Oryzias latipes: one gene and its partner. The protein of the gene in region 1 purifies or fractionates together with the protein of each later gene. This does not show direct contact. Links are inferred from orthologs where the notes say so. Each region holds a gene or a part of one and is shown in the gene's direction. Other genes may lie near its edges.

Evidence for each region. Proteins that work in one complex are often made in the same cells at the same time.
Region 2: the proteins of ddx27 (region 1) and pes1 purify together in Homo sapiens (affinity purification with mass spectrometry; 4 studies listed by BioGRID and IntAct, counting the BioPlex papers as one, with this or other methods). This does not show direct contact. The link is inferred for Oryzias latipes from reciprocal best matches to the Homo sapiens genes DDX27 and PES1.

What each region holds. Positions count from the first base shown.
Region 1 is NC_019863.2:25,260,219-25,266,230, reverse strand, and holds the start of ddx27 (probable ATP-dependent RNA helicase DDX27), read left to right. Parts: upstream 1-2,574; 5' UTR 2,575-2,625; coding exon 2,626-2,709; intron 2,710-3,237; coding exon 3,238-3,387; intron 3,388-3,456; coding exon 3,457-3,516; intron 3,517-3,990; coding exon 3,991-4,180; intron 4,181-4,437; coding exon 4,438-4,490; intron 4,491-4,563; coding exon 4,564-4,650; intron 4,651-4,739; coding exon 4,740-4,845; intron 4,846-4,923; coding exon 4,924-5,097; intron 5,098-5,191; coding exon 5,192-5,342; intron 5,343-5,419; coding exon 5,420-5,519; intron 5,520-5,776; coding exon 5,777-5,918; intron 5,919-5,999; coding exon 6,000-6,012. Other genes in the region: khk (ketohexokinase), read right to left, coding at 787-887. UniProt on the Homo sapiens protein: Probable ATP-dependent RNA helicase. Component of the nucleolar ribosomal RNA (rRNA) processing machinery that regulates 3' end formation of ribosomal 47S rRNA.
Region 2 is NC_019867.2:13,302,326-13,308,234, forward strand, and holds the start of pes1 (pescadillo homolog), read left to right. Parts: upstream 1-1,856; 5' UTR 1,857-2,029; coding exon 2,030-2,053; intron 2,054-2,250; coding exon 2,251-2,330; intron 2,331-3,233; coding exon 3,234-3,387; intron 3,388-3,865; coding exon 3,866-3,975; intron 3,976-4,104; coding exon 4,105-4,276; intron 4,277-4,357; coding exon 4,358-4,447; intron 4,448-4,967; coding exon 4,968-5,084; intron 5,085-5,156; coding exon 5,157-5,234; intron 5,235-5,909. Other genes in the region: p2rx2 (P2X purinoceptor 2), read right to left, coding at 263-429. UniProt on the Homo sapiens protein: Component of the PeBoW complex, which is required for maturation of 28S and 5.8S ribosomal RNAs and formation of the 60S ribosome.

The sequences.
Region 1 (6,012 bases):
CTGTTTGAAGGGGTAGAAGAGTCACGGCTCTCTTGTAAAACCAGTGTCAACGTAAAGATGGAATTGTTTGAAGTCCTGATTCTTGCCTTTATAACCCTGTGAGGGGCGGGGCTAAGGGTAAGCATAGTTGGCTTGCATTTGTCCTGAGAACGTCCTCTTCTAAGTTATCTTTTTACAGCAGCCTCATTATGTAAGCACTTAGCCCTGAAGGTCAGCACAGTTGTCCTGATGTGAGGCTGCGATGGTCCTCCAGCCACAGCACTCATGTTTGACCCCAGCCCAAACCCTGAACCCCAACCCCACTCAAACTGAACTGAACTTGTCAGAGCTGCGTTGCAACAGTTGAACATTTCACTGCTCAGATGATGATTTTTGGCAGCAGTTGGCGTTTATGACTGGTTAGCAGGTTAAACTTTGCCCCTGAGACACGATGAGTTGCAGATTTTCTTTAATGTGAGCTCAACAGACACTTAATAGCCATTAAAAAAAGAAGAAACCGGGGATCCACCTTCTCCCACGAGTGGCCAGGATAGGCTCCAGCAGCCCCGTGACCCCAAAAGGGACAAAACAGGTTTGGAAGATGAATGAATGACTACGGATCCACACTGATTAAATAAATTTTAGGACACATCAGTAGAACACAAAAGCTTTCTAAAAAACAATGTAGCTGCTTTCCACAACACAATTGGTTTACCAGAAGCATCAAAAGAGACAAAAGTGTGTATGTGCTGGCAGATCAGCTGATGGAAGAGTTTTGAGTGTGTGGCTGCTAGCCTGTGTGCTAACCTGCTGTCAGAGTCTTCCTCAGGGTATTTGTCCACCACGTTGATGATGTCAAGACACACCAGACCCACGCACAAGATCTTTTTCTGCTCCGCCATGCTCATCCGGTCTGTCCCTGTGTGTCCTCAGGCTGTCATGAACGCACACTGCAGCATGCTGCTCTTTCACACACTCACACACAGCTCATTTTCTTCCAGTCAAGCCACTACTAGCAGAACCAGCACTTCCTGTGAGCTAATCTACAAAATAAGAGCTTCCCTGGTACCAATGGAAACTGGTGACTCTGTAACATCTCTTACTACCTTTCATGCATCATAATCTTGATGTGGACTATTGACACCTTTGCAGTAAATTTTCATTCACAAGACCGCACTTTAGACCCAACCAGAACCAGTGAGCAGCCCCTCCTATATAACTGCATTGTGTGCATGATGTGTGTGGCATCATATAAACACGTAAGAGTTTGTCCAAGCCAATAACTGAAACCGTCCAATCACTTCCCTTCCAGACCACAGAAAGCTTTTCAGTAATACAAACTATGCAGAAGTTTATTCAAAATGTTTAGTTTGTAGCTTATAAATATAGACAGCAGAGGGAAGTGGTGGTTATGTCCGAGTCCTCAAAGTCATGGTTCACGAGTTAGAAACCCACTACTGTATTTTCAGTGTGCAGGTTATTTTTCCTTCCATAAAAGCTGAATTAACAGCTCAGGAAATTCATGAATGAATAAACGCTCCTGTCGATGCAGTGGAACAAAGTTCTCAGCTGTTTCAGGGGAGGAGCCAGCCAGTTGCATAAGGAGCAGCATTGCATCACTGCACAAACATTATTGCTTCAGTTTAGACGTCACTGTCACTGTCACTGTCAGAACATTTTCTGTTTGTTTTCCTGTGTGTCCTATAAGGTCCACCTGCCAAAAGGTGAGGATTTCATCTATGTCAGACCCCTTGGCCCGCAAGAGGGCTTCAAGGGCTAATGACACATTTAACGTGACGGGAAGTTTTACTTTTTTTTTGTTGTTTTATGAAGAATCTGCTGACGAAGCAAGGGCAGAACGTCCCCTACTGTATGCACTGACCTCTTGACTCTGCTGATTGCGAACTACAAAAACTACACACAAAGTCACGGTGGGTGCTAAAGCAAACATCCCCACAGTTTGTGGCAAAGCAACACCTGAAAAGAGATATAATCAAAACTAAAGGGCAAATGAACAAAAAGAAACAAACAACAAGCATATGAGTATTTTTTTATTCAACAAATGAATCAGGAGCAGATGAAAAATTGTAGTAGGAAAAGCTTGTAGGTGTGATGTAGGTGCTACAATGGGAAGATGACAATCCCCACTCCGCTCTACTCTGATGCATCCACTTGCAGACAAATAGTTAAAATTAAAAAAATAATTATGGATTAGATTTATCTGCAGTTTTGCACACGCTCAAAGCGCTTACATTGTGTTCAATATTCATTCACTCCTCATTCATACTTGGAGATGACAGAAGCATGGCTGCCAGTTCGCGCCTACGGTCCCTCTGACCATCACCATCATTCATACGCATTGATACAACAGTGATGCCGCACTGGATCCATGTATATCCATGATCCATGTATGTATATTTTTTTGCCATGCTGTACATTAATTGTTCTAAGATTGTAAAACTTGTAATTCATAAAAAAAAGAAAGAAAAAAAACATGATCCCGTAGCTTTTCTCTTTGTTTTTGTGAAGGCCTCCGCGGCAGCAGGAGGCGCCAAACAACATGGAAATCTTAGAAACCGGAATCTAGCGCTGACATTTCCGGTTTTCGTCTACACGTGAGTGCGTGGACAACAGAACCTGGAAAAAATGCTGGCGCAACTGGGTCTGATCGGGACCCTCCGGGACGAAGACCAGAGCCCGGAGGAACCCGATACCGAGTCAGAACCAGAGGTGAGTCCATACTTCTGCACGAAGGATCCTTTCGTCAAAGTTGGTTTTGTGGTTTATTTCTGACTTTGGTTCTGCTCCATCTTCCTAATCTTCTGTTGAATGACTCTGACCCTGCAAGAATAATAGTTGTTGCCAGGTTGGAGACAACCGTCCTCCTTTAAATTGACACACATTTTCTATAAGTAAAATGGATCTTGTAGTTGTGGTTCTTTTAATAAGCCCACCCTTCAATTTATACTTTTAACTTTTTAAAGTCTTTTTTTAAAGAACAATTTTAATATTTGTATTTGCTCTACTCAACACAATCTTAAGAAAAACATTTTAGCACAGACGTTTTGTTGAATTTAGATCAGAATTCACTGGAGAACACTTGAGAACAGTCCAATGTTTTGCTGTCAGTTATGGTATCTGTTGTGGTTTTATTAAATACCATTATTTATTAAGTTTATATCAGTAGTTATTTTACCTTTTAGCCGAATAAATTGGCTTTAAAAGAAAATAAGATGCTGAATGAACTGTTGTGTGCAGGAGGGGCCAATAGTCCTGAACAGGAAGAAGAAGCAGGGACCCCGCAGCTGCAGAGACTTCAACTGCGACTTTGAGTTTGTCGAAACAGACCGGCCGAGCCGTGATGAAGCCTGGGCCATGGCCGACGTGATGTCCCAGTTAAAAAAAAAGGTAGCTGGTTTGGCAGAGAACCGAAACGTCCTCCGTTCTTTTGCACTGATGTCCGCTCTGTTTCTGCAGAGAAGCCTGACGACGCTGGACCAGAAAATAGAGACAATCCGGAAGAAGAGGAAGGCTGAGGTGAGTCCAGTTCAAAAACTGTCAGGAAGTCTTACGGAAGAAGCGCTAGAGTTTATGCAGATGTATTATTCCCAAAATAAGAATAACTTTGAGAGTTCAGACAAACACTCGCCATAATTTGAAATCTTAATTGATAAAAATGAAAGAAAAGACAATTGAAGATTGAAAAACTATTGAAAGAGATGAAACAACCTAAAAATGAGCATCAAATACTTGTAAAATTATAACAAATTATTTTATTATTCTTTTATATCTTTTTTTGTTTGTTGATTTGAAGTTAAGCTGTTTTTTTATTGTCTTTGAACGGTGAGGTAAATTGGGGCGGAGGGTAAAAGTCTTATTGTTTTCACTCTCTTTTGTTTGATAGTTGTTACCTCGGCCTTTGTAGCAGCCTGATGTTTTAGAGCTTTGGAAATAAATGAAAAACATCTAAAAAGTGAATGTGTCTGAGGAAAAGTTTGGCTCAATCTGCAGGACAAGCAGAGTCCCAAAGAGGGAAATCCTTCAGCTTCTGAGAAGGAAGAGAAGGAGGAGGAAGAGAAACTGAAGGCAGAAGAGGATGAGAATGATGACAATGATGATGATGACGACGACGATGATGATGATGATGATGAGGAGGAGGAGGAGTTTGGCTCCAGTGATGAGGAGGTTCTGACCAAATCAGGTGGGTGTAAAGGCGAGACCCTAAAAAAACCTTCATATCTCGTGGTGTTTTCATTCAAATGAACATTTGAGCAGTAGAACCCAACGATAATACCTAGAAGGGAAGACATTCGTGTGAGCTGCTCAGGTGGTTACTATAACAACAGCATCAAAGGCCATCTGGGCCAACAGACAGAAAACACTTTTAAAGAACAGAACTTTGGAGGTTCTGTGGAGGCTCTTGGAAACCCCTGAGTAAAAGTTTTCTCTTTCTGCCAGACACCCTGAGAGATAAAGGCCGACGAGGAAAGAAGAGGAAGGCAGCAGAGGAGGTGAGGAGGAGGAGTTTGTGTCTTGGTTCTGGTTTCAGGTTCATATTTACCAGCGTTTTTTTTCTTTCTTCAGGCTCCTGAGTCGTTCCACGAAGATGCGTCTCAGTTTGATGATCAGCTGAGCTTTGATGACATGAACCTGTCCAGACCCATCCTGAAGGTGAAGCTTGTCTGGGTCAAACAGGTGTAGTCAGTCCGCTCAGAGGTCCACAGGCTCACCTTCCTGCTCTTGTTCTTGTGTTCTGGCAGGCTATCACAGCTTTGGGCTTCAAGCAGCCCACTCCCATCCAGAAGGCCTGTGTTCCGGTCAGCCTGCTGGGCAGAGATTTGTGTGCCTGTGCTGCCACTGGGACAGGTACCTGAGCTGCTGGTTTGACCTGTAGATTGGCGGTGCCGGGTCTGGCAGATGTAACCTGTCTGCGTTTGTCTGCAGGAAAGACGGCGGCCTTCATGCTACCTGTGCTGGAGCGTCTGATTTACAAGCCCAGAACCTCCCAAGTGACCCGGGTCCTGGTTTTGGTTCCTACCAGGGAGTTGGGGATCCAGGTGCACTCTGTTGCCCGGCAACTGGCCCAGTTCACTTCCATCACTACCTGCTTGGCTGTCGGTGAGATTAATTCCCATCATTCTTTGGTCCAACAGATGGTTCTGCTTCTGTACCGGTCTCTAGCCCCTGGTTCTTATCTATTTCCTGTCTCCAGGGGGTTTGGACCTGAAGTCTCAAGAAGCAGCATTGAGGGCGGGGCCAGATGTCCTAATAGCAACACCAGGTCGACTCATTGACCACCTTCACAACACGCCAAACTTTGAACTGAGTCATATTGAGATCCTAATTCTGGACGAGGCCGACAGGTAAAGACTTATTAATCGATTTATGGGCGTGGCCCATGATGAGACACTCACCTGTGGTTTCTGCTCAACCCTCTCAGGATGCTTGACGAGTACTTTGAAGAACAGATGAAGGAGATCATCCGCCTGTGCTCCTACAACAGACAGACCATGCTGTTCTCTGCCACCATGACAGAGGAGGTACGCCGGGATGGGTGGGGTAACATTTCAGGTGTGAAGGGCTGATGGTGGCAGAGATTCCTACTGAAGTGGAAGCATCTTTAGGGAAAACTTACTCCCTGAAGAAACCTGGAACCTTTTCTGTGATTCCTAGCTGTGACTTTCCATGTGACTTGTATGCTTTCTTGTCTTGTATAATCTATGTCCAACTGTTACTTGCCTGCCATCTTGCTACACGCTCTTTGACTCGTTTACCATCCCGCATCTTGTCCGCACAGGTGAAAGATCTTGCTGCCGTGTCGCTGAAGCAGCCAGTCAGAATTTTTGTAAACAGCAACACAGACGTGGCGCCGTTCCTGCGGCAGGAGTTTATCCGGATCCGACCACACAGAGAAGGAGACAGAGAGGCCGTCGTGGCCGGTAGGATCCAGTTCCGCGGGCTGCTTGGCAACACTGTCGGTGGTGTGGTTCTCCTCAGACCGTTACTTTTTTGCACTTCAGCTCTCCTGACTCG
Region 2 (5,909 bases), on another chromosome or scaffold:
GCATCATGTTACATTTGATCTACTCAGCCCACATGCAGTAGCCAAGAAAAGAAAATGACGCACTCAGACTCCGCTCTAGTTATCTTCCTATTTTGTTGAAATAAAAAGCTATTTTGCACTTGATGACTTATACATAAAAGATTAATTTTTCTAGTTTAATCCAACACAAATCACAACAGTCAGTTTACATATATAAAAAAAACAGCATTGTGTACAAATTTCTTTTTTTTTAAGCAAATATACAAACATGCTGCTCACTTACCAGATAAAATAGGTAATCACAAGAAACTGGACCGCCCTGTAAATGACTCCAAGAGTTCTGTTTTTCACGACCATCACTTTGGGGGTTTCGTAGTCCCAAAAACCACTGAAGCACTCCTTTAAAAAGTCATATAGCCCCATGATGACTTTATGAAATGCTGTACTCATATCCAAATCAGTGCTTGAGTCTTTTTATCAACAGAACTTTATCTTGTTACAACATTTCTTCTTCTCCCTGTCTGAGGCTGCTCTGCTCTTGTCTGCATTTTGCTGAAGCATCCCTGACATATGTGAGGGGTCCAATAGACAAGGGGTGGGGCTTAGATTTACAGTACAGACCAAATGTTTGGACACACTTTCTCATTCAAAGAGTTTTCTTTATTTTCATGACTATGAAAATTGTAGATTCACACTGAAGGCATCAAAACTGTGAATTAACATATGTGGAATTATATACATAACAAGAAAGTGTAAAACAACTGAAAATATGTCATATTCTAGGTTCTTCATAGTAGCCACCTTTTGATTTGATAACTACTTTGCACACTCTTGGTATTCTCTTGATGAGCGTCAAAAGGTAGTTTACCTGAAATGTTTTTCACTTCACAGGTGTGCCCTGTCAGGTTTAAAAAGTGTGATTTCTTGCCTTATAAATGGGGTTGGGACCATCAGTTGTGTTGTGCAGAAGTCAGGTGGATACACAGCTGTTCGTCCCACTGAATAGACTGAATTTGTTTTAGTGCTAGAAAAAAGCAGCTAAGTACAGAAAAATGAGTGGCCATCATTACTTTAAGAAATGAAGGTCAGTCAGTCCGAAAAATTGGGAAAACTTTGAAAGTGTCCCCAAGTGCAGTCAGAAAAACCATCAAGTGCTACAAAGAAACTGGCTTACATGTGGAGCGCCCCAGGAAAGGAAGACCATGAGTCACCTCTGCTGTAGAGGATGAGTTCATCCGAGTCACCAGCCTCAGAAATGGCAGGTTAACAGCAGCTCAGATTAGAGAGCAGGTCAATGGCACACAGAGTTCTAGCAGCAGACACATCTCTACAACAACTGTTAAGAGGAGACTTTGTGAATCAGGTCTTCATGGTAGAATATCTGCTAGGAAACCACTGCTAAAGAAAGGCAACAAGCAGAAGAAACTTGTTTAGGCTTAAGAACACAAGGAACGGACATTAGACCAGTGGAAATGTGTGCTTTGGTCTGATGAGTCCAAATTTGAGATTTTTGGTTCTACATGCCTGCTCCCACTGTAAAGCATGGAGGAGGAGGTGTGATGGTGTGGGATGCTTTGCTTGTGACAATGTTGGGGATCAAGAAAGAAAAAGGGCCAACATGTCTGTCTGTCTGTCTGTCTGTCTGTCTGTCTGTCTGTCTGTCTGTCTGTATCTATATCTATATCTATATATATATATAGATATAGATATATATAACAACCTGTAGGATAATATTGTTTTATGCAGCAGTCCACCATTTAACTAAACAGTGCATTCAAACATTGTTATTAATGTTATTTTTTTGTTATTGCTTTTTTTAGTAGCTCGCTCATCTACCGCAGCTTAATAAGACTATTGCGAGCAGGCAGATGAGCGGTCGACTGTGGGTCCTCGTGTCCGCTAAACCCAATCTGATTCTCTTGCGCATGTCAAACAACACGTGCATTTACAGCAAAACATGGTGGTCGTGTTCAGATTTTAACTACCTGACAACATATTTAGTTAAAAACGGTTTGTTTGGCTTTATTTCAGATAAACTAATTTCTTAAGTATGGGCGGCACTCAAAAGAAAAAGGTAAATGCTGGCGTTTTGTTTGAACTCAGTAACAGTTTCCATGCTACGTACGTAGCTAGCTAAACTAGCTTAAGTTTGTTCTAAGTGGTTCATTATGTTGGGCAAACGTTTACACGTGAATGTGAACAGTCAAAATTACATTTAATGCAGTTTACGGAAATTGTTACTGGAAATTTTTAAAACCGTTTTCTTTGCAGTTTGAGAGGGGCTCTGCCACCAACTACATTACACGAAATAGAGCTCGGAAGAAGCTACAGTTGAGCCTACCAGACTTCAGGTACCACACAGCTCAAGTTTTTTTCTTTTTCTTTTTTTTGTAAATAATACCTTTTTTTTTTTTTTTTTTTTTACCACTGATTTGGATGTTTTTTTTAACACGAGGTATTTGTTAAATTATTTTTGAACTGCAACTGAACTGGAGTGTGTGATTTTATGGTTTAATTTTCAGAGATTGTTATTAATGTACCAGCCCCTTTGTGTCTGCACATAACTTTGTGGTTAAGCATAGTTATAATAAAGGTTAACCTATTTGGAGCAGTTTCTTAAAGTATACACTACAGTGTAAAAAAAAAAGAACATGAAAACGTTGCAAATCATAAATGTTGGCAAACATTTATTTACTGTCCTTAAACATTTAACAGTTTGACATTCAGTAAATATAAATACTTGACATTACTTGCTACATTATTCAAACATGTAGTTGTAGAGTTGGATAAGTTAATTCTACCTTAACAGTCCTGGTACATCACCTGTCTGTCCTGGGAGAGGATCCCTTCTTCATCATGTGGACACAGCGGAGACTGTTTCCCCCGGAATCTGTTATTTATTTATCTATTTTTAATAACGTTTTGCTTACCGAGAAGTAGGGTCTAAGGGCAGGGGTGCCCAGTTTAGCTTAGTCTGTTTAGTTAAGTTTAGCAATGACCTACTGTATTTAATGACTGATTTAATGTTAGCCCAATAAGACAACTATTATTGTATTATTGGGCTATACAAAAAACATGCGACCAACAACAACCTTTAGCCTTTAATGCAATTAAAATATGTGCGGGCAGTGCAGCAATGTGCGTCTCGTATTGTGTGTGGCCAACATGATTTTCCATCAGATTTAGTCAGACTGCGATACACACTCATGTCATTTTTTTGTATCTCTGATGACTTGCTTTACTTTTTGTTTTAGACGACTCTGCATTCTTAAAGGCATCTATCCTCATGAGCCGAAGCACAAGAAGAAGGTCAACAAGGGCTCCACTGCCCCCAGGACCTTTTATCTGCTTAAAGATATTCGTTTTCTGCTGCATGAGCCCATAGTTGCCAAGTTCAGAGAATACAAGGTATTTCAAAATGTGTAAATGTTTTTTATTATTTTTTTATTACTTACATGCATAGAGAGAGCACAGTGTCGATTCCCTTTCTCTTCAAAGTGTGAATTAAAGAGCTTGTTGATACAAAAATACATTGCAGAAAATTTGTTAAAATAGAAATGATCACCAAAAAGTGACTAAGTTTGAAATGCATAACTTGTAGTTGATCTTTAATATGTAAAAAACTTTTTGTTTTTGCATTTTTTGCATTACCTGCAATGAAAAGTGAGGATTTAAGAGATCCATTCCTTCTCTGCAGTATAGACTTAAGTGTGCATACTTAATGTGCATGCTCACACATGGATTTGGATTTAAGGACTGGAAAATGTAAACAATATAAGGTTTTAATATATTATCAAACAACTTTATTTATTTTGGTAATAATCTTTTTGGATACTATACAGTCGAAGTGTAAGTTAGCCTAAAAATTTGTTCTTTGTTTTAATAGATATTTGTACGGAAACTGAGAAAGGCTTATGGAAAAACGGAGTGGTCTGCAGTTGAAAGACTGAAAGAAAACAAGCCAACCTATAAATTGGACCACATCATTAAAGAGAGGTGAGACTGACTTAAAAAGTGGGGCATAAGTAGATTTTTCTGTTAAATGAACCCATTGTTCTGTGTTTTTCTAGTTTTTAAATGTAAGACAGATAAACCTACCTCTAAGTCAATTGCTTTCTGTTGTAGATACCCCTCCTTCATCGATGCCCTCCGTGATATCGACGACGCCCTTTGCATGTGCTTCCTCTTCTCCACATTTGCCAGAACGGGAAAATGTCACGTCCAAACAATCCAGCTCTGCAGACGCCTCACTGTGGAGTGGATGAACTATGTGATTGCATCACGCTCTCTCAGAAAGGTGCAGCTTTACTGAACTCTTTCACAGAAAAAAATTACAGTTCTGTGTTTTCTGACATACAACCCACTCTGTTCCCGTTAGGTTTTCGTCTCCATCAAGGGAATGTACTATCAGGCTGAGGTGATGGGACAGCTCATCACATGGCTGGTGCCCTATCAGTTCTCCCATGATGTAAGTCAAATTGATGAAATGAGGTTCATAAGGAATATACCAATAAGCAGTGACAGCAAAATCAACAATGTTCTAACTAAACACAGAAAGTCCCCAGTTAATTAGTAAAGCTGTTTACATAGTTTCCAAAGTCTGACATCATCTTTTTATATTTACTTTTAAATACCATCTAAGTCATTTAGGAACCAAAACATTTTAATTAAAGGTGATTAATTTCCAGTTGAGGTGCAGACGCCGAGACTCCTTTATGTTGACTTGCTTCAGTGCCTTTTCATTGTTTTCCAAATACTGATGTCCTCAGAAGAAATAATTCTTCTTTACAAATAGACAATTTAACAGCTAAAAGAGGGAGGAAAGCTACATAAACGTTCATGTGATTTTTGATCATTTTTATAAAGTGTAATTTTAAACTATTTTTTTGAATTATTACTCAAATTATATGTTGAAATGTTTCACTTTGACACAGTTATTTGGTGAGTAGACCTTTTATTTTTCTAAAATAATATTTTTGCTGTTTTAGCACCCAACAGATGTTGACTACAGAGTCATGGCAACTTTCACAGAGTTGTACACAACCCTGCTGGGGTTTGTGAACTTCAGGCTCTACCATTCCCTCAACCTGGTCTACCCTCCAAAGGTATTTTGAACTGGAGACGATTTTAAGACATACGTATGAGCTCCACTTTGAACCTACTCTGTTTTCACACAGCTGGACATTAAAGCAGAGTCGGAGCTCAAGGGAGAGAATGAAGATGAATATGCTATGGACTCAGAGAGCTACCCCGAGGTTAGTTTTTATTTATTTGTTTCCCACAGTGAACAGCCTAAAATGCCTGTTTTTATTTACGGCCTTTTGTTTTAGTATTTATTTTCTCTTTGACTTTTATTGTGGCCCTAAAATCACATTAACACATTTAGCAAAAAAACTTGTGAAAGATCACAATGACAATTAAAAAAGACAAAACTATTAAAAAACATAAATGAATAAGATTACATTTTAGTAATTGAAGCAATATTCCAGAAGCCAAAACCAAAACACAATACCAGAAAAAGGAAACAAAATAAAAATGAAACGTTTCAGAAATTAAAATTAATGTCCAGAAACAAAAGGAGAAACCAGGAAAGGTCGGTATTGTGGGTCCTAACTGATTGAATGATGACGTTTGATCACCTTTTCAACGAAAAGTTATTTGGCATTGTAGACAGAAGATATTTGATTAAACTTCTGGCCTCAGTTACTGCAAAGGGTTGACTGCTCATTCTACTCTCAACCACAGTTTGGGCAACACATTCTTCTGCTTTCCCTCTTCTTCAAAACTCAAACATCTTCATCCAGTCAGTGATACCCACCTTTCTTGGTCTCTTATTATTTAATGTTTAAACATTTCATTTTAATTCTGGCAATTCCTTTTGTTTTCCAAAAATGTTTTTTTTTTATGGTTTGGTTTCTAAAATGTAAAAT